Linked DNA regions of Anolis sagrei. The protein of the gene in region 1 interacts with the protein of each later gene in a biochemical or structural test. Links are inferred from orthologs where the notes say so. Each region holds a gene or a part of one and is shown on either strand. Other genes may lie near its edges. The genes, in order: protein S100-A6-like, CACYBP and CEP43.

Region 1 (7,764 bases):
ATCTGTGCCTGGTTTTTTCCTCTCTGTTGTTTAGCTGTTATAATTTTAGAGTTTTTTAATACTGGTAGCCAGATTTTGTTCATTTTCATGGTCTCTTCCTTTCTGTTGAAATTGTCCACGTGCTTCTTGTGTATTTCAGTGGCTTCTCTGTGTAGCCTGACATGGTGGTTGTTGGTGTGGTCCAGCATTTCTGTGTTCTCAGATAATATGCTGTGTCCAGGTTGGTTCATCAGGTGCTCTGCTATGGCTGAAGTAGTCTGCCGTGCCTTTCATGTTCCTTGATGCGTGTCTGGGCAATGCTGCGTTTGGTGGTCCCTATGTAGACTTGTCCACAGCTGCATGGTACACGGGAGACTCCTGCAGAGGTGAGAGGATCCCTCTTGTACCGTGTACCATGCAGCTGTGGACAAGTCTACATAGGGACCACCAAATGCAGCATTGCCCAGACACGCATCAAGCTGTGGACAAGTCTACATTTCCCTGGGGAGTGAGTTCCACAGGTGGGGAGCCACCACTGAGAAAGCCCTGCTCCTCGTCCCCACCAGCCTCACTTGTGAGAGTGGTGGGGTCGAGAGCAGGGCCCCCCCCCAGATGATCTCAAGGTCCGGGGTGGGACGTAGAGGGAGATACGTTCGGACAGATACGCTGGACCGGAACCGTACAGGGTTCCGGTCCAGCGTATCTGTCCGAACGTATTTGAGAACACAGAAATGCTGGACCACTCTCACAACCACCATGTCAGACTACACAGAGAAGCCATTGAAATCCACAAGAAGCAAGTGGACAATCTCAACAGAAAGGAAGAGAACATGAAAATGAACAAAATCTGGCTACCAGTATTAAAAAACTCTAAAATTACAACAGCTAAACAACAGAGAGGAAAAAACCAGGCACAGATTAACACCTCCCAGGAACAGATTTTCCCAGGCTCAGGCAGGCCTTCAAATGCTAATGAAGGTGATCAGTTGAAACATTCACACCTAGCTCTACCAGACAAGAGTCCTTTGTCCCACCCTGGTCATTCCACAGATATATAAACCCATTTTCCTACTTCCAACAGACCTCACACCTCTGAGGATGCTTGCCATAGATGCAGGCGAAACGTCAGGAGAGAATGCCTCTAGAACATGGCTCTATAGCTCGAAAAAACCCACAAGAACCTGATGTGGTTTGAGCCCAGCATGAACTGCGGTGGGATTTGCAGTCCTCCCAAGGTCTCCTCCTCTCTTTGGCAGGACCCTCCATGGAGAGCCCCTTGGAGAAGGCCTTGGCCAGCCTGGTCCTCACTTTCCACCGGTATTCGGGCCAGGAAGGCAACCCCTTGACCCTCAGCAGGAAGGAGCTGAAGGAACTGGTCCAGAAGGAGCTGCAACTGGGAGAGGTCGGACCCTGCACCGCCCAACACCCCCTACAGGGGGACAACACAACAACAACAACAACAACAAACAACAACAACAACGATGACATAATTTAAAATAATAATAATACAATAGAATATATATATATATATATATATAGATAGATAGATAGATAGATAGATAGATAGATAATATTACAACAATAAGTCATAATATAACAATATAATATATATTATATAATAATATAATTATTATAACAATAATTTAAACATTGTAATAACAATGTAATATATATATATATAATACACTAATAAATCATAATATAAAACATATTATATGACAATAAATAATATATTGAATTAAATATAAGAATTATATATAAGAATTAAAAATCACAATAATGCCATAGAATATAATATATATATATATTATACAATAATATTGTAATGTTTATTATATAATAAAATATAATAATAATAATATATATTATATAATAAAATAATATAATAATTAATATTATATAATAAAATAATATAATAATCAATATAATGGTATTATAAAATAATATAATATAATAATTAATCATAACATAATAATATATATTATATAATATAATAGTCATATTAATAAGAATTTAAAAATCATGCTAACTATATATAATATATATATATAATACACTAATAAATCATAATATAAAACATATTATATGAGAATAAATAATATATTGAATTAAATATAAGAATTATATATAAGAATTAAAAATCATAATAATGCCATAGAATATAATATATATATATATATTATACAATAATATTGTAATGTTTATTATATAATAAAATATAATAATACATATTATATAATAAAATAATATAATCATTAATATAATAGTATTATAAAATAATATAATATAATAATTAATCATAATGTAATAATATATATTATATAATAGTTATATTAATAAGAATTTAAAAATCGTACTAACAATATATATAATACACTAATAAATCATGATATAATAATATATTATAAGAATTAAAAATTGTAATAATAATGCCATAGATTACAATAATATTGTAATGTTTATTATATAATAAAATCTAATAATAATAATATATATTATATAATAAAATAATATAATAATTAATATAATAGTATTATAAAATAATATAATATAATAATTAATCATAATAATATAATATAATAGTTATATTAATAAGAATTTAAAAATCATACTAACAATATATATATATATATATATATATAAAAATACACTAATAAATCATAATATAAAACATATTATATGAGAATAAATAATATATTGAATTAAATATAAGAATTATATATAAGAATTAAAAATCATAATAATGCCATAGAATATAATATATATATATATATTATACAATAATATTGTAATGTTTATTATATAATAAAATATAATAATACATATTATATAATAAAATAATATAATCATTAATATAATAGTATTATAAAATAATATAATATAATAATTAATCATAATGTAATAATATATATTATATAATAGTTATATTAATAAGAATTTAAAAATCGTACTAACAATATATATATATATATATATACTAATAAATCATAATATAAAACATATTATATGATAATATAATAATATATTATAAGAATTAAAAATTGTAATAATAATGCCATAGATTACAATAATATTGCAATGTGTATTATATAATAAAATATAACAATAATATATATTATATAATAAAATAATATAATAAATAATCATAATATAACAATATAATATATAATAATATAATATAATAATGATAATAATTATTATTATTATTTTCTGCAGCGCATGAAGGAGAGCGGCATCGACGTCCTGATGCGCAGCTTGGACCAGAACAAGGACCAGGAGGTCGACTTCAAGGAGTTCACGGCCTTCCTCTCGGCCCTTTGCATGGCTTACAACGACTTCTTCAAGCAGGGCGGCCAATAAAGAGCGGGGGAATCAATACGTAGTACATATATGCCTTCTCTGTATGGGGATTCCTTCCCTATTAGCCTCAAATAAAAGACCTGCGCCTTGCAAAAGACTGTGTTTGTTACGAAACACCATTTGCAGCATGCGAAGAAAAGCTGAGCACGAAGGAGGGAGGGAAAGAGTGTAACCGGGACACTTTAAAGAAGGACCGGAAAGTGGGAAGGGATCATGTATTATATATTTCCTTCAAAACACCCTTTGCAGCAAGGGAAGGAAGCTGAGCATGAAGGAGGGAGGGAAGGAGGGTAACCGGGACGCTTTATAAAAAGTCCAGAAAGTGGGAAGGGATCAAATATAATATATTTCCTTCAAATTACCCTTTAAAGTGTCCCGGTTACCCTCCTTCCCTCCCTCCTTCGTGCTCAGCTTTACAGTCCTTATTTCCTTCAAAACACCATTTGCAGCAAGTGAAGAAAAGCTGAGCACAAAGGAGGGAGGGAAGGACGGTAACTGGGACACTTTAAAGAAGGACCAGAAAGTGGGAAGGGATCGTGTATAATATATTTCCCTCAAAACACCCTTTGCAGCAAGTGAAGAAAGCTGAGCACGAAGGAGGGAGGGAAGGAGGGTAACCTGACACTTTAAAGAAGGACCGGAAAGTGGGAAGGGATCGTGTATAATCTATTTCCGTCAAAACACTCTTTGCAGCAGGCGAAGAAAGCTGAGCACGAAGGAGGGAGGGAAAGAGAGGTAACTGGGACACTTTAAAGAAGGACTGGAAAGTGGGAAGGGATCATATATAATATATTTCCTTCAAAACACCCTTTAAAGTGTCCCGGTCACCCTCCTTCCCTCCCTCCTTTGTGCTCAGCTTTCCAGTCTTCCTTATTTCCTTCAAAACACCCTTTGCAGCAAGCGAAGAAAGCTGAGCACGAAGGAGGGAGGGAAGGAGAGGTTGCCGGGACGCTTTATAGAAAGACCAGAAAGTGGGAATATATATATATATAATTTCCTAATGGGTTCTGTCTTGAAAACATGGGGAAAGTTTCATTTCCTTCAAAACACTATTTGCAGCAAGGGAAGGAAGCTGAGCACGAAGGAGGGAGGGAAGGAGAGGTAGCCGGGACGCTTTATAGAAAGACCAGAAAGTGGGAATATATATATATATAATTTCCTAATGGGTTCTGTCTTGAAAACATGGGGAAAGTTTCCTAAACTGCAGGAAAGCAGCCAATCCGGTTTCCTTCCCACCCTGGGGAAAACTTTTGCAATCTGGGGGAAAGTGAACAGGAGCAAAGAAAGGTGTGGCTGTGGGGGTATGCAAATGAGCAGGGCGTGGCACCCAATCAGGGCTCGTCCTGGGGGCGTGGCATGTGGGGAGGCCCCTCCCCTGTGTATAAAGAGAGGGTGGGTTGCATCCCTGGTCTCACTTGCCTGCCTCCCTTCCTTCCTTCCAGCCAACTTCTCTCTTCCTGCTTTCCACTGGTAAGTTTCCCTTCTTTTCCCCATAGAGAGAGAAAGCGTCAGTGGGGTGGGGGGTGCCTGGGTTCCCTGGCAGGGCCACTCCACCCTCCTTTTCCTCTTCCACTTCCACTGGAGAAGGTTTCCTGCCCTGAGGCATCCTCACCCAGGAGCCTGCACACCAACCAAGCTCCCTTTTCCAAGCTCTCTGCTGACATCTGGTGGCCAACCCGGGAATGGCGCCCCTGAGCATGAATAATTCTTTGGAGCCTGGATGGAGTGAACTACAACTCCCACCATCCTGGGCCTCAGGGATCTCTGGGTGTGGGCTGAGCTCTCCCTCCCACCCATGCTAACCCCCCCCCCCAATCCCCATCATCCTGGGTCACAGGCTCTCTGGAGATGGGGTGAGCTATAACTCCCACCATTCTAACTACAACTCCCATCGTTTTGGGTCACGCAGGCTCCCTGGGTGCAGGGTGACTATTACTCCCATACTCCCAACTACAGCTTCCATACTCCCAACTACAACTTCCATAATCCCAACTACAACTCCCACCATTCTAACTACAACTCCCATCATCCTGGGTCACAGGCACTCTGGGTGAACTATCACTCCTACCATTCTAACTACAGCTCCCATCGTTTTGGGTCACACAGGCTCCCTGGGTGCAGGGTGACTATTACTCCCATAATGCCAACTACAGCTTCCATAATCCTAACTACAACTCCCACCATTCTAACTACAACTCCCATCATTATGGGTTACTTGGGCTCCCTGGGTGCAGGGTGAGTATTATTCCCATCATTCTAACTACAACTCCCAGCATTTTGGGTGACACTGGCTTCCTGGGTGCAGGGTGACTATTACTCCCATAATCCTCACTACAGCTTCCGTACTCCCAACTACAACTTCCATAATCCTAACTACAACTCCCACCATTCTAACTGCAACTCCCATCATTATGGGTCACGCAGGCTCCCTGGGTGCAGGGTGACTATTACTCCCATAATCCTAACTACAACTCCCATCATTTTAGGTCACGCAGGCTCCCTGGGTGCAGGGTGACTATTACTCCCATAATCCTAACTACAACTCCCATCATTTTGGGTCACGCGGGCTCCCTGGGTGCAGGGTGACTATTACTCCCATAATCCTCACTACAACTCCCATCGTTTTGGGTCACGCGGGCTCGCTGGGTGCGGGGTGCCTATTACTCCCATAATCCTAACTACAACTCCCATCATTTGGATCACGCGGGCTCCCTGGGTGTGGGGTGACTTACTCCCATAATCCTAACTACAGCATTCATAATCCTAACTACAACTTCCATAATCCTAACTACAACTCCCACTCTAACGACAACTCCCACCATTTGAACTACAACTCCCAGCATTTTGGGTCACACGGGCTCCCTGGGTGCAGGGTGACTATTGCTCCCATAATCTACAACTCCCATCATTCTAACTACAACTCCCACACTTTTGGATCACAGGGATCTCTGGCTGTGGGGTGTACTACAACTCCCATCATCCTGGGTCATGAGGCTCTGGTTGCAGGGGAACTATAACTCCTATCATTTCAACTACAACCGTCATCATTTTGAGTCACAGGGCTTTCTGGGCGTGGGCTGTACTACAATGCCCTTCATCCTGGGCCACGGGGGTTCTGGATGTGGGTGAACTATAACTCCCATCATTCTAACTACATCTCCCATCATTTTGGGTCACAGGGGTTCTTTGGGTGTGGAGTGACTATTACTCCCATAATCCTAACTTCAATTCCCACTATTCTAACTACAACTCCCATTGTTTTGGGTCACACAGGCTCTCAGGGCATGGGTAAACTACAGCTCCCATTATCCTGGGTCATGGGGGATCTGGGTGTGGGGTGGACTACTACTCCCATCATCCTGAGTCATGGGAGCTCTAGGTGTGGCGTGAATTATAATTCCCATCATTCTAACTACAACTCCCATCATTTTGAGTCACAGGTCTTTCTGGTATGGGATGAACTACTACTCCCATCATCCTGAGTCATGGGGGTTCTGGGTGTGGCGTGAACTATAATTCCCATTATTCTAACTACAACTCCCATCATTTTGAGTCACAGGTCTTTCTGGTATGGGGTGAACTACAGCTCCCATCATCCTGGGTCATGGGGGCTCTGGGTGTGGCGTGAACTACTACTCCCATCGTCCTGGGTCATGGGGGCTCTGGGTGTGGCGTGAACTATAATTCCCATCATTCTGAGTCTCAGGGCTCTCTGGGCATGGGTCGAACTACAACTCTCAGCATCGATCCATACATACCGTTTTCACATTAATTTTATAGACACCAGATAAGAGAGGCAGAAGGAGAAAGATCCATGATGATGGGAGTTGTAGTCCGGAGGGGAGAGGCGTTCTTTTCCCCCCTTGGTTTGGCCATTAAGAGGGGAAAGCCGGGATGTCGCAACCACGTCTTCCAAGGCCGCTTCCCTTGCCCTCTCGCGGGCATCGAGCAGCCGCACCCTGGAATTAACCAGCATTTGAGTCATTTCTCCCGAGGCGGGTCCCATGGTCGCCGTCCTTGGCAATCCCGGGATTTGGAGTTTGGAGGAGCCATTTTACATATATACACATATACTAAAAGTGAAAAAAAATATGCTTAATAGTTTTAGCAGTGTGTGTGTGTGTGTGTATGTATATATATACACACACACACACATACATATAACATATATATATATATATATGCATATATATTTATATATATGAACAGAATGGTTTTAGTACTATATATATGTATGTTTTCTATATTTAATAGTATGTTGTCCTTTACATACGCACGCAGACATATGTACACACATGAAAATGTAATATATAATACACACAAAGACACACACACACACACATATATATTGCAAAAACTACTCAGCTTATATATATATATATATATATATATATATATATAGCTAAAATTATTTCACTCTCAGAC
Region 2 (7,719 bases), on another chromosome or scaffold:
CAACAACTTAAATCAAGACATAGTTTTCTTAGATCTACAGAGACACTCGCTGGAACACCTCAGCAAGCGAGAGTCCAAAAGTGGCAGGCCCAAACCCAGCACCTCAATCCGTGGGTGATACCAGATGAGAGACTCCCCCCTGGGCACACAGAAGACTGGGCGACTTGGAAGGCACTCAACAGACTGCACTCTGGCACCACAAGATGCAGAGCCAATCTTAAGAAATGGGGCTACAAAGTGGAATCCACGACATGCGAGTGCGGAGAAGAACAAACCACTGACCACCTGCTGCAATGCAACATGAGCCCTGCCACATGCACAATGGAGGACCTTCTTGCGGCAACACCAGAGGCACTCCAAGTGGCCAGATACTGGTCGAAGGACATTTAACCAACTACCAAGTTGGCAAAATCTGTGTTTTGTTTTTTTAAAAAATCTGTTTGTTTTGTTCTGTTAGAAATGTAATACAATGGTATGGTTGCTGATGACATGATAAATAAATATCGGACACTGCAGAGCCCCCGGTGGCGCAATGGGTTAAACCCCATGTGCCGGCAGGACTGAAGACCGACAGGTCGCAGGTTTGAATCCGGGGAGAGGTGGATGAGCTCCCTCTGTCAGCTCCAGCTCCTCATGCGAGGACATGAGAGAAGCCTCCCACAAGGATGATAAAACATCAAATCATCTGGGCGTCCCCTGGGCAACGTCCTTGCAGACGGCCAATACTCTCACACCAGACGCGACTTGCAGATTCTCAAGTTGCTTCTGACACGTGACACACGATCAGACACTGCAAAGGCTATTCCTCAGGACCCAGATATCTAGCACAACAGAAATCTTTTGGTCAGGCTGCAAGGTAGGTTTTTCTGGGAGTGGCACTGCAGAATTTCATTACTGTAGTTAAGCTGACAATGCAAGACCTTGACATATGTGTTCAGACTGAGATTTGTGACTGCTTAATCAGCAATGACTTCTTAGCAAAGATCAGCAAACCGAACAAGCTTGCTGAGACACAAATGTATCCAAATGATAATGCATTACGATAATGCAAAGAAGCTTGCCACGTCTTCAACTTGACTTCCGTACAAATATATAAACATAGCTATCATGCCCCCTTTCAGCCTTCTTTCCTCTGCAAATCTGATAAGCATGCCTTCTATTTTGTCATCCAAGTCATTGGTAAATACGTGGAACAGCACTGGGCCCAGGACAGACCCTTGTGGCACCCCACTGCTCACTTGGGCCAGTTATTATTATTTCGTATCAAAAGCATTGCATAAATTAGTATATAACCAATAAAAATAGAAGGAGCACAGGTGGCTAAATATCTTTTGACCAAAAACAGGCAACAATATGGCCTCTAACAAGTCTTCCTCTGTACATGAGGCAGGGCATAGTGGACAAGCATAAAGGTGCGGAGTTGTCTGTTCTGCTCCACAGCCACATAAGGTGTGGGATTCTTTTAGGTAGTGCCACTTGGGGCAATATATTCAAATGACAGGAAAGGAAATTCCACTTGAACATTAGGAAGAACTTCCTGACTGTGAGAGCTGTTCAACAGTGGAACTCTCTGCCTCAGAGTGTGGCGGAAGCTTATTCTTCGGAGGCTTTTAAACAGAAGCTGGGTGGCCATTTGTCGGGGCTGCTTTGATTGTTCTTTTCCTGCCTGGCAGGGAGTTGGACTAGATGGCCCATGTGGCCTCTTCCAATTCTATGATTCTATCTATCGATCTCGCTCTCTGGAGGCCTTTAAACAGGGGCTGGATGGCCATCTGTCAGGGTGCTCTGATGGTGTTTGTCCTGGCTGGCAGGATGCTTTGATGGTGTTTTTCCTGCCTGGCAGGGCGTTGGACTAGATGGCCCACATGGCCTCTTCCAACTCTAAGATTCTATCAATCGATCTCCTTCTCTGGAGGCCTTCAAACAGAGGCTGGATGGCCATCTGTCAGGGGTGCTTTGATGGTGCTTTTCCTGCCTGGCAGGGGGTTGCACTAGATGGCCCACGTGGCCTCTTCCAACTCTAAGATTCTATCTATCGATCCCCTTTTCTAAAGGCCTCTTCCAACTCTATCGCTCTCCTTCTCTGGAAGCCTTTAAACAGAGGTTAGATGGCCATCTGTCGGGGTTGCTTTGATGGTGTTTTTCCTGCCTGACAGGGGGTTGGATTAGATAGCCCACATGATCTCTTCCAACTCTATAATTCTATCAATTGATCTCCTTCTCTGGAGGCCTTTAAACAGAAGCTGGATGGCCATCTGTCAGGGGTGCTTTGATGGTGCTTTTCCTGCCTGACAGGGTGTTGGACAGATTGGTCCACATGGTCTCTTCCAACTCTATGATTCTATCTATCAATGTCCTTCTCTGGAGGCCTTTAAATAGAGGCTGGATGGCCATCTGTCGGGGGTGCTTTGATGGTGTTTTTCCTGCCTGGCAGGGGGTTGCACTAGATGGCCCACGTGGCCTCTTCCAACTCTATAATTCTATCAATTGATCTCCTTCTCTGGAGGCCTTTAAATAGAGGCTGGATGGCCATCTGTTGGGGCTGCTCTGATTGTGCTTTTCCTGCCTGGCAGAGGTTTGGACTGGATGGCCTTTGGGGTGCCTTCTAACTGGGGCCAGACCTCAACCAGAAACCCCTGCTTCGGGGTCTGTGAGCCCTGTATTTCCTCCTCCGCCCCACTGCCCTCCAGAGACTCCTTTGGAGGCCCACCCTCTCCCCCTTCCTGAGGCCCAGCGACCCTTCCCTCCCCCTCGGCGCATGCTCACCTCCTCCATCTCGAGGGCGGCTGCGGAATAAAGGAGCAAAAGCCAGCCTCCTCGCGCCGCTCTCGAGCTTGCCTCGCGCGCCGTCACTGCCAATGACGTCACTGTCCTCCTGACCTCCCAGCCAATAGGGAAGGCGCGCTCTGGCCGGAAACGACCAAAGCTGGGCTGGCAAGAGGCTTGTTGCCTGCCGGATTTCCGGGTTTGTGCCGGGGAAGCTGAAAGTTTCAGTGGAGGGGTCGATAGTTCTCCCTTCTGTTTCCTGAGGTATTTCCCTTGAGTTTTCCGTATCCCAAGCATTTCACAGAGTAGGCCTGCAAGAGAGTTGTCTCTAAATACAGATATAGGCAGGCCCCAAGTGAGGAACAAGAGGAAGGAGTGGAGAGAGCATGAAGCTCCCACAAGGCCGCTTTCCTCCCAAAGACGCCTCTCTTCTCAGCTTTCTTTTACCATTGCAAGTCATACAGAATGTACACAGTTTGTTCTTAAGTTGAATTTGTTTGTAAGTCGGAACAGGTACATTTTATGTATAATTCCAGCCTAATATATATATAGTACCCGCCACGCATTGCTGTGGCCAACCTCCCCTCCCTCTTTCTCTCCTCCCTTCCCTCCTTCCTTTCCTCTTTGTCTTTCCCTATCTCTCATCTTTCTCTATCTTTCTTTCTTTCCTTCTTTCCCTCCCTACTTCTCGCCTTCCTTCCTTCCCTCTTTCCCTCCTTCTCTCGTTACTTCTTGATTGTCCCTTCCATTTAATATTGTATTTATATCTTACATAGAAAGAAGGAAAGGAAGAAGGAAGGAAGGAGAGACATGAAGGAAGGAAAAAGGGAGGGAGGGAGGGAGGGAAAGAAGGGAAGGAAGGAAAACAAGGAGGGACAGGGAGGGAGGAGAAGGAAGGAAGGAGGGGGATGAAGAAAGGAGGAAGGGAAGGAAATGAAGAAAGGGAAAGAAGAAGGAAAGGGGGGGGAGGAAAGGAAGGAGGAACAGGAAGGAAGGGAAGGAGGGAAAGAAGAAAAAGGAAGGGAGGAAAGAAGGGAAGGGAGGGAGAGAAGGAAGGTCCTTCATTCAAGCACTGTGGACCTTCCTCGCCTCCCCCCTCCTCCTCCCCTTCTTCCTTGCTTCGTTGCTGCTGCTGGCACTCATCTGCCATTTCCTCTTCCAACAGGGAAAGGAGGAGACTGCCTCCACCTCCTCCACTCCCTTGTGTGTGTGTGTGCATGTGGCTGTGCATGTGCGCCTGGCTTTAACGGCAGGCTGTTTCCCCATGAGGAAGAGGAGGGGGCGTGGCCATGGGTCTCTGTAGACATGCAGTTTCCCCTTTGTGGACATGCAGTTTAGATGTCCTTTCTGCTTTTCATTTCCGTTGTTTTTTTTTAGTGGAGAACATACATTGGGTTGTTAGGGACATAGTGTCCAAATTTGGTGTCAATTGCCGGAGTGGTTTCTGAGTTCTGTGAATAGCACAAACGAACATTACATTTTTATTTATATAAATTAGCTTTGGATAGCATAGTCATGCTACCCCTCTATTCTGCCTTGGTTAGACCACACCTGGAATATTCTGTCCAGTTCTGGGCACCACAATTGAAGCGAGATATTGACAAGCTGGAATGTGTCCAGAGGAGGGCAACTAAAATGATCAAGGGTCTGGAGAACAAGCCCTATGAGGAGCGGCTTAAAGAGCTGGGCATGTTTAGCCTGAAGAAGAGAAGGTTGAGAGGAGACATGATAGCCATGCATAAATATGTGAGAGGAAATCATAGGGAGGAGGGAGCAAGCCCCTTCACTAGAAATGTTTAAAAAGAACCGTAAAACTTGGTTCTTCCGCTGCGCCTTTGGTGATTAGGTGCACACCACGACATTTTGCATCCCCCAACGTTTTTGCTACTGGAGCTCGCACCTCCAAATGGGATGTTTAGCCTCACAATTCTACGTATTTTATGAATCCCCCGTAATTGTCCTCCTCCTATTTTATTTTATTTCAGTCCTTTAATTGTTCTTATCCTGTACTAGCGGTCCCCTGCCACGCATTGCTGTGGCCCAGTCTGGTGATCTGGGAAAAAAGTAATGGGAAAGTGTTGGTTTCTAATATATGTAATTTCTTTCTGCTTGTGAGTAAACAGGATTTCTTGCTGTTTCTTTGCCAGTGTTGATGTGGAGATTGTTTGGTTTGCCTACTCTGGAACATGCAACATATCATTCTCCTTCTTTAGGGGTCCCTTTCAAATCTTTGATACTGAATCTGTCATATACATATATGTGTATGTGTGAATGGCTGGATGGCCCTTTGTCGGGAGGGCTGTGATTATGTTTTCTTGCCCTGGTGAAGGGAGTTGGACTGGATGGCCTTAAGGTAGCATTTCTCAATCTGGGAAGTCAAGACCCCGGGGGTCACCAGGGGGGTGTCAGAAGGTCACCAAAGATCACCAGAAAACACAGTAAGTTTGCCCCAATTCTGTCGTTGGTGGGGTTCAGAATGCCCCTTGATTGTAGGTGAACAATAAATCCCAGTAACTACAACTCCCAAATGTCAAGTTCTATTTCCCCCAAACTCCATCTGTGTTCACATTTGGGCATATTGAGTATTCCTGTCAAGTTTGGTCCAGATCCATCATTGTTGGAGTCCACAGTGTTCTCTGGATGGAGGTGAACTACAATTCCAAAATTCAAGGTCAATGCCCACCAAACCCTTTTGGTATTTTCTGTTGGTCATGGGAGTTCTGTGTACCAGGTTTGGTTCAATTCCATTGTTGGTGGAGTTCAGAATGCTCATTGATTATAGGTGAACTATAAATCCCAGCAACTACAACTCCAAAATGACAAAATCATAATTTTTGATTGATGGGCACTCCTTGTGTAGTGAGACATTTTGTTGTCAAATTTGGTGTGATTTCGTTCATTGGGCCTTTTGTTTTTAAGGTACTCATTATGTACAGAACATATATATATATATATATATATATATATATATATGCGGCCCGCCCATTGTTATCGTTATCGTGATTGTGTTTATTAGAATGTTATTTTATGACTGCATTTTTAATGTAATTTTGATGTTGTTGTTATTTGTTGTTTATGTTTTGATTTTATTGCTGTAATATGTTGTTCGGGCTTGGCCCCATGTAAGCCGCTCCGAGTCCCCACAGGGGAGATGGTGGCGGGGTATAAATAAAGATTATTATTATTATTATTATTATTATTATTATTATTATTATTATTTCCTGCTGCCCTGGAGACTAGGATGCGGAACAATGGCTTCAAACTACAAGAAAGGAGATTCCATCTGAACATTAGGAGGAACGTCCTGACTGTGGGAGCCGTTCAGCAGTGGAACTCTCTGCCCTGGAGTTTTGTAGAGGCTCCTTCTTTGGAAGCTTTTAAACAGCAACTGGATGGCCAACTGTCGGGGGTGCTTTGAATGCAGTTTTTCTGCTTCTTGGCAGGGGGTTGGACTGGATGGCCCATGAGATCTTTTTCAACTGTATGATTCTATAGGGAAAGGTGAACACTAGGGATGTCTGATCCATTTAAAAATGTTTCAAAAGTTATTACAAAACTGGGAGGTGCTAGCATTTCATTTCTAAAGTGTTTCTAAAGTACAATTAGTGGAAAAATTCGTTACTATAACGAAATTTGGTTACAGTAATTGCGCATAAATTACTATAATTGGGAAAACTTCAGGGGCGCCTTTCGCCCTCATTTTTAAAGCTATCTTGTTCATAACTTGGGGACTGCCTATAACTAAAAGCAAGAGAACTGAGAACTGTACACTGTTATGTGTATGGTGATGGTGGGATGGGGGAGCAAAAGGTTGGGAATAATCAATGTAACGATGCAATTGTGTTTTTATTATAAAATAAATGAAAAAAATCTTAAGTCACAATTTTAAAAGGGAAATTACAGTTCTGGAGCTCTGAACCCGGTCACAACTGCACAGAGGTTCAGGAACAGGAAGTGATATTAACCTACCATTCAACACTGGACCCACATGAAATTAGTTGTATATCCTTAACCCTTTTTTCCACTTTCAGGTGTCCAATTATTTTTCCTGTTGTGATGAGAAAGCCGAGGATTTAAATGACATCCCTTAGAATGTTTTGCTTTCCTTTTGATAGTTAAAATGCAAGTATTGATTAGTTAAATATAAGCTAATATTCAGAATTGTGCATAGCACTTCAAAATGGTTTATTTGTTATCCATACATAAAAAATATTTGAGATGTTATTATTCATCCACGTATTGCAGATGGAGACAGGGCCAGCCCAATAGATTTTGCTACTTAAGAGCATCCATATAGTGCAAGACCTTTCCCATACAGTAACCAGGAAGTGTCAAACCTGCAGGTTTTACAAGCAGGTTTTACAACATATTATCAACCCACTATTGAGCAACCTTCCTATATCAAGTTTTCACTGGAAGATAATTTTCCCCATGTGACTTTGTCCATTGCCAAGTTTCTCTTGGAGGTATCCAATATAAGAAATCTTCCTGCTCCAGACTCAGGTGAAACTAGCCTTTGCATTAATCTGTATGTACATTCCCTAATGTATCTTCTTGTGAGGATCTTTGACAGTCAAGCTACTTGGGTCTGTAATAAGCTTGTAGTTGTCGAAATGGACCAAACATGCTAGGTGTTACTTGGACATCATAGTTCCAGGAACAGGAGGGATATCAAATTATTGCTTACTGGTAATAAGGCTGTGTAGCTTTAATGTACATTCAATTCATATAATTGTTTGGAATTTAATTGTATCTAAACACATTTTATTAAGCAATTTTTACAGTGTATTTCCATGCTTTTAATTATATTCTTTTGTACCATCCCAACATGGCCTGTTTGTTTCCCAGTACAGTGTGTGCACACTTCTTTCTAGATGTGTGTAAGATTTATATAAGTACTAGCTGTGCCCTGCCACGCGTTGCTGTGGCCTATAGTAAAACTTATCAAAGTTG
Region 3 (7,322 bases), on another chromosome or scaffold:
ATTTAAGAGGTGTATAATAGCTACTAATAATTTCTACTTAATCCATATGTTTATGTCAAATCATTCTTCCATCACACACTGTCAAAGCATGAGGGCAACGGATAAGAAATACCAATATCAATCTAATTTGGGTGATCTTAACAGCACTGCAACAGGATAACATATTAAAACACTAAATGTTTTAATTGGTACTAACGTATACACCCGAAGATACACTGCTAAAAGCAAAGTAAGAATCCTTGTTTTTTAAAAAAATGTATAGTGGTGTAAATCCAAACATTATTCATCTCTAATTTTATCAAATGAAATAAGTGAAAAAGATGACACTGAAGTCTAAAGAAACACCCCCTTTACTGGAATATTTTGCTTCCATCAGCTGCAGACTTTCAAACAATAAATGACACTAATTTCAGTTTGCAACCATAATCCTAACAGTCAGCCCTTGCACACACTGACAAAAATGGAAGACAAAATGGCTGCTAAAATCCCCCTACCAATATCCCCTCTATCAAATAGAGTTCAAAAGCTGTTAGTTTAACATGCAAAACATGTGCATATTATACTAAAATCAGAGAAACCAAATTAAAGTCGAACTTTACCTCTACTTTTTCTTGCTCTTCAAGAGCCAAAAACACAGCTGCCCGCAACTCTGCCTGCAAAAGAAAGTCAAAAATATGCAAAATATGTATGTCTACATACATTAAAATCAGGTAACAAGCCAAACAGCACCCAGATGATGGTTCTAAAAGCAATTTTCTGTGTTCTTCTTTCTGTTAAATCTCTAAATATTTGATAGGTCTCTGATTTCATAGGACGTAAACTTTGGTAACATTTATGTTATTTTTCCTTCTGTTTTAGATGATGTTCAAGTATTTAACAGAAATCCCACTGTGCTAGCAGTAGCAGAACAATCTGTAAGATGTATTTTTCAAGAAACACTTGAGTAAGCACAAAAGTCCATTACATAAAGCATAGTAACCGTTCTAAAAATGTGAAGCAAACAGAACTACTACTTGAGATGCAATAATGTCCCATTAAAGAAACTAAATTGCCACATCCTTGTACACTGGTGTGACAGGAATGTGTGGATCCCTACAAGTAGGACTGCAATTCCCATGAGTTATTAACTTCCATAGCTAATGAAGCCCACAAAATCAAATAGAAAGTCATACACTGTTTATCTCTTCCTCAACATTTGTTCAAGTAAACTAGTGGCAAGAATTGAAAGTTCAAGTTTAGTGTATTTAATAACAATATAGAGCACAGCACATGAAAAGTGCCAATTTTCCATATATTTTGTATTTGTTTCAAATTGTCGTGTTTGGAACTGTAGTAAAGTTACAAAGAAATAAAGGAAGAAGAACAGCATACACAACCCCTTTTAAATTCAGTGCAATTGCTATATGTGGAACTAATACTCTGTTTTAGTTATTTACAGAAAGACTAAAAACAATAAAACAAAATTAAATAAAAATTAAGCTGAAACTGAAGGAATAAAGGAAAAGAGTCAATATAAGCAGAATGGAATTGTTGTACTGCATAGTAGAGCATTCAATGGAAAATAGAGAGGAATAGAAAATACAGAAATGGACAACAGTTCTCTCATGTATTGTCAAAGGCCTCCATGGCTGGAATCACTGGATTGCTGTAAGTTTTTCGGGCTGTATGGCCATTTTCCAGAAGCATTTTCTCCTGACGTTTCACCTGCATTAATGGCAGGCTTCCTCAGAGGTTGTGAGGTCTGTTGGAAACTAGGAAAATTGGGTTTATATATCTATGGAATATCCAGGATGGGAGGTCCAAGGTGGGATGTCCCACCTTGGACATTCCACAGATATATAAACCCCGTTTTCTTAGTTTCCAATAGACCTCACAACCTCTGAGTTTGCCTGCCACAGATGCAGGTGAAACATCAGGAGAGAATGCTTCTGGAACATGGCCATACAGCCCGAAAAACTTACAGCAACCCAGTTTTCTCATGCTGTCATAGTCTCGTATTTTCTCTCTGCAAAGGAGGGTTTACAGTGCACAGTAATCTAAAGTCAGCGCTCCTTGTTTGTAGGATTACCTCCCCCCCTCAAAAAATATTCTACACTCCTTTCTTGTTAACAGTTCTGTTTGTACATCCCTTTCCTACTTTGCCACCATGTGTCAGACCTCAAGTCTCTCTCAACTACAATATTCCCTCACCTGACTTCTTCCTGCTCATCCTCCACCCATGCTATCATACTATCACCCATGGCAGCTAAAATGGTATCAACTCTGCAGCGTAGATGTACTTAGCCATCTCTGAACAAGATACTGAACAAGAAATAACTCCTTTGTGCAATTAGTCAGCTATCAACGTTTGATCATGATGCTGATAAGGATCCCAGATCCTCTCTGCCTGATCTTTCACATCCAGGAGAGCAATGGTCCCAGATTTTGGTCCTATAGATACCATAATTACTGACTGTTGGCAAAGTTGGCTGTGGCTTCTGGGAGTTGAAGTCCCAGACATCTGGAAGACCAAAGGTTTAAGGTCAAAGAGAGTTCTCCCCTAAAAAGCATGTCACAAGGGCCAAACAACAAGAGAAAGCAATATTGTCTGCTTGCCCTGGCTATGACAGTGGACATTTACTGGTTCACTATGAGACAGGCAATGCTGGCCGGCCTAGGGAGTCCCTTCTAGCTCTATGATTCTGTACCTCCACGCATTTCTTCTGTCCTAACATGGGTAATACGGCCATGAACTCTCTGATCCCCTTAACCCCAATAAAAGTCCCACGCATGCGCCCTGAGGCCAAGGCTGCGCGTGGCGCTCTTCCCCAGAGAACGCACAGCCTCGAGGAATGGCGGGAATGGCAGTTGGCGGAGGGCCGTCGTGGGTCTTCAGCCCCAGCTCCCCTCCATCGTTCCCAATTCGCGACGCGCCACGCCACTCAGAGGTCCGCCCAAGGCTTCGGTGAACCTCAGGCACACATCCACACCTTGATTTTATTCAGCACGCCGCTCGTCTCCAGGGTCTGCACAAGGAGGTCCCTCAGCTCGGTATCTTCCTCTGTCGCCGCCGCCATCTTGCTTCTCCCTGACAACCGCCTAAACTGAACTAGCGGTCGAGCCCGCCCCGCAGATTCGTCACTCCAGAAAGAGGGGGGGAGAAGGAGGCGACAAGACCCGCGCTCCGAGGCGCCGCGAATGTGCGAATGAAAGAAAGGGCAGCGCGTCACCAGGAGCTGTGATTGGCTGGGCGAGGACAAGGGGGCGGGGCTTTGGAGAAGGGAGGTACTTTCAGGAAGTGAAGGAACCTTGCTTCAGCTGGGGATGTCAAGAGTATCTGCACTGTAGCTTCACCCCACTTTAACTGTCAGGGCGCTGTGGAATCTCGGGAGCCGTAGTTTTACACGGTCGGAAGCTTTCTCTTACAAAGACTGCTGGTGCCTCTCCAAATTTCAGCTCCCATGATTCCATAGCAGCGAGTCATGGCAGTTAAAGTGGTATCAAACTGTATTAATTCTACAGTGTAGTTGCAGCTGTCCTTACACTGGAGTATTAGAGCAGTTTGACATCACTTTGATTGCCGTAGTTCAATATAAATTTTGGGTTTTTTTTAGTTTTTAAGACATATTTAATCGTTTTTGTCACGGACCTCTGGTACCACAACAAACTTAACTTTAACGTAACTCAAGGATAGTGGTCCTCCAAGTGAAGTGTCTTGGCAGTGGGTCTGTAGGTGACTGTGGAGCCCTATTCTTGATCCACATGTTCTCCTGCAATGAGGACATTGGTTTCCAATGGAAGGTGGTCTCGGTCAGGTTTGGCTCGACGTGCCTTCCTCTTGGCACGTTTCTCCCTTTCGCTCTCCATTCATGCCTCTTTGGTTTGTTTTTATTTTTCTTGGAAGATGCCTGTGCGTGAGTTTTTTTTAAAAATGTGTGAAGGTCAGTGCACAGCCGATCAACACAGTCTTCACAGAGAGAGGTCCCATCCAGTGGCGTGGTTAACATGACGATGATGGCTTCTCAATCTGTTGCAACCTTCTTCTGCTATCACAGCTGTTGTAACATGTACCATGTTATCCTCCGCCTGATCCGCGGTTGAGGTCTTCGGGTCTTCGGACTGTGCTTGGTCTGGAACCTCCCCTGCGGCCCCTCCTGGGAGTGCATGACTCCGGTAGTTGTGCCCGCGGGTTCACTGGAACATGCAAGTCCCCTCACGACAAGGTGACAATCCATCAAGGGGGCACAACAAACTACAAATCACAAAATGTCTTCAGTTGAAGGCTCAGCCTACTTACAGAATGCTTATCTGTGACCATGCATCTACACTGTTAGCTTAATGGAGTTTAACACTAACTTCACAGATCCAATGCTATGGGAGTCTGGGAGTTGTAGTTCGCTGATGCGCTAGCACTGTCAGAGAACACAAAAACCTTGTAAAACTACAACTCCTGGAATTTCATAGCATTGAGTCATGCAAAGATTACTGCAGCCAGTAAATCAGGAGACACTTACTTCTTGGGAGGAGAGCAATGACCAATCTCGATAAAACAGTGAAGAGTGGAGACATCACACTGGCAACGAAGATCCACACAGTCAAAGCAATGGTATTCTCTGTAGTAATCTATGGATGTGAGAGCTGGACCATAGGGAAGGCTGAGCGGAGGAAGATAGACGCTTTTGAACTGTGGTGTTGGAGGAAAATTCTGAGAATGTCTTGGACTGCAAGAAGATCCAACCAGTCCATATTCCAGGAAATAAAGCCCGACTGCTCACTGGAGGGAAGGATATTAGAGGCCAAGATGAAGTACTTTGGCCACATAATGAGAAGACGGGAAAGCTTAGAGAAGACAATGATTCTGGGGAAAATGGAAGGAAAAAGAAAGAGGGGCCGACCAAGGGCAAGATGGATGGTATCCTTGAAGTGACTGGTTTGACTCTGAAGGAGCTGAAGGTGGTGACAGCTGACAGGGAGCTCTCGCGTGGGCTGGTCCATGAGGTCACAAAGAGTCGGAAGCGTCTGAACGAATAAAGAACAACACGAGCCATGACTGTTAAAGCGATGTCAAACTGCATTAATTCTGTAATGTAAATATGGATAGTACTATTGCACTAGATGTTGCTTAAAGCCAAAGAAGATCGTCTAAGCAAAGAAAGACGAGACTCCAAAACCGCAGGTCACAACAAAATCCTAAGGGTGCTGAGAGTTAAAAACAAAATCCCAGGAATTAAAATGTCAGTTGATGAGATTCAGCTAGTGTAAGCAAAACTTTGAACATAGGTTTGCCAGCAACTCAGCTGACGGCCATTTATTTTCTCCACTTTTGTACTTGGCTTTAGATTTCACTGTTGAATAAAGCTGCAAAAACTGCTCTGTTCACCTTGGCCTTTGTGGTCCTAGAAATAGACCTGAAACTACACAAGTTTACATCTCCCAAGTCCATTCCACTAACAGACTAACCTTATGTGCAGATGGTCATGCATGGTCTTTGAATCTGAATACTATAGGAACATCATACAGCTAGGGATTTATACAGCTAGGAATGTATAAAACTGTACCAGATTTCCTCATAAAGAAAACAGGCTTAAAAGTTTGTCTGTGTTTCCAAAATGTCACTGTAGGTGGCACTAAAATCCATTTTCTAAAAGAGCTAGTTATCAAACCTGCAGACCAAAAAAACATGATTGTGTAATTGTTAACTGGAGAGAAGTGCCTTGAATTAAAGCTTCTTCGCCTATTGCTTCATTTGTATGCAAGCCCTAATCTCCATGGATAGGTAATGGTGGATCTACACTACATTATATGGCAGCGTAGACTCATATAATGTGTGTCAACCGCATTGAACTGCAATATATGGGTCTACACTGACTATATAATGCAGTTCCAAACTGCATTATATGGAAGTGTAGATCCAACCTATGGGGGTTTTTTTGTCTGAAGATAAATTGATTCTAGGTTTGTTTTCAAAGGCTGGTTCCACACTGCCAAATGATGTAGTTTGAACTGCATTATCCAGTCCGTGTAGAAACATGTAAGACAGTTAAATATACAGTCTCGCTTATCCAACCTTCACTCATCCAATGTTCTGTATTATCCAATGCAGTCAGCCTCCTGCCCGGATCCACAGCTGCTTCAATACATTGTGATGTTTTGGTACTAAATTAGTAAATACAGTAATTACTACATAACATTGCTGGGTATTAAACTGATTTTTCTGTCGATTTGTTGTAAAACATGATGTTTTGGTGCTTAACTTGTAAAATCATAACGTAATTTAATAGGCTTTTCCTTAATCCCTACTCATTATCCAACATTTTTACTTATCCAACATTCTGATGGCCTGTTTATGTTGGATAAGCAAGACTCTACTGTAGTTCAAACTACATTATAAGGTTCTACGCTAACCATATAGTTCAAACTACATTATATCGCAACTCAGAACCAGACACAGTGACTCCGACTTCATGTTATTATGAGTTCAATTCATGCTCAGGACATGTAACTGGGCTGACAAAAGCAGACTTCTGTGCTCCAAGGCCCCATCTACACTGTTATATATGCACTCTGAGACTTCATTATATGATCAGTGTAGACTTTTATAACTGCATTCAAGTGCATTATATGAGCCTACACCAGGCATGGGCAAACTTCAGTCCTCCAGATGTTTTGGATTTCAGCTCCCACATTTCCTAACAGCCTCAGACCCTTTCCTTTTCCTCTTCAGCTGCTTAAGCGGCTGAGGGGGAAAAGGAAGGGGCCTGAGGCTGTTAGGAATGGTGGGAGTTGAAATCCAAAACATCTGGAGGACCGAAGTTTGCCCATGCCTGATCTATACTGTGGGCAACATAGATGGGGCCTATGGTAGCCCTTTTTAATCCAAAATCTGGGAGTGTGAGCAGACCATAGGTACGTCTACACTATAGAATTAATGCAATGTAGTGTCGAAGGCTTTCATGGCCAGAATCACTGGGTTGTTCTGAGTTTTCCAGGTTCTATGGAAAAACACTAAAATTGTAACAATAAATAAAGTACACTCAAAAGCAGGGGCATTCCAAACAAGGAACCATCAGGGCCAGCTAATCATCTCCCAACAAAGGATTCCCCCAGGCAGTATGAAGCCAGACCTTTAAACCGGCTCGACCATTACATGCAAGTGGCCAATTGCAACATTCATACTTGCCTCATAGAATCATAGAGTTAGAAGAGACCTCATGGGCCATCCAGTCCAACCCCCTGCCAAGAAGCAGGAAAATTGCATTCAAAGCACCCCTGACAGATGGCCATCCCATCTGTGTTTAAAAGCCTCCAAAAAAGGAGCCTCCACCACACTCCGGGGCAGAGAG

Evidence for each region.
Region 2: the proteins of protein S100-A6-like (region 1) and CACYBP are reported together in a solved structure, tested with the Homo sapiens proteins (2 studies listed by BioGRID and IntAct, with this or other methods). The link is inferred for Anolis sagrei from reciprocal best matches to the Homo sapiens genes S100A6 and CACYBP.
Region 3: the proteins of protein S100-A6-like (region 1) and CEP43 form a complex in vitro, tested with the Homo sapiens proteins (2 studies listed by BioGRID and IntAct, with this or other methods). The link is inferred for Anolis sagrei from reciprocal best matches to the Homo sapiens genes S100A6 and CEP43.

What each region holds. Positions count from the first base shown.
Region 1 is NC_090032.1:1,006,621-1,014,384, reverse strand, and holds the start of protein S100-A6-like, read left to right. Parts: upstream 1-4,704; 5' UTR 4,705-4,809; intron 4,810-7,764. Other genes in the region: protein S100-A5-like, read left to right, coding at 1,244-1,381, 3,196-3,339. UniProt on the Homo sapiens protein: May function as calcium sensor and modulator, contributing to cellular calcium signaling.
Region 2 is NC_090024.1:129,682,259-129,689,977, forward strand, and holds the start of CACYBP (calcyclin-binding protein), read right to left. Parts: upstream 3,079-7,719; 5' UTR 3,064-3,078; coding exon 2,767-3,063; intron 1-2,766. UniProt on the Homo sapiens protein: May be involved in calcium-dependent ubiquitination and subsequent proteasomal degradation of target proteins. Probably serves as a molecular bridge in ubiquitin E3 complexes. Participates in the ubiquitin-mediated degradation of beta-catenin (CTNNB1).
Region 3 is NC_090021.1:64,214,623-64,221,944, forward strand, and holds the start of CEP43 (centrosomal protein 43), read right to left. Parts: upstream 3,108-7,322; 5' UTR 3,057-3,107; coding exon 2,970-3,056; intron 654-2,969; coding exon 600-653; intron 1-599. UniProt on the Homo sapiens protein: Required for anchoring microtubules to the centrosomes. Required for ciliation.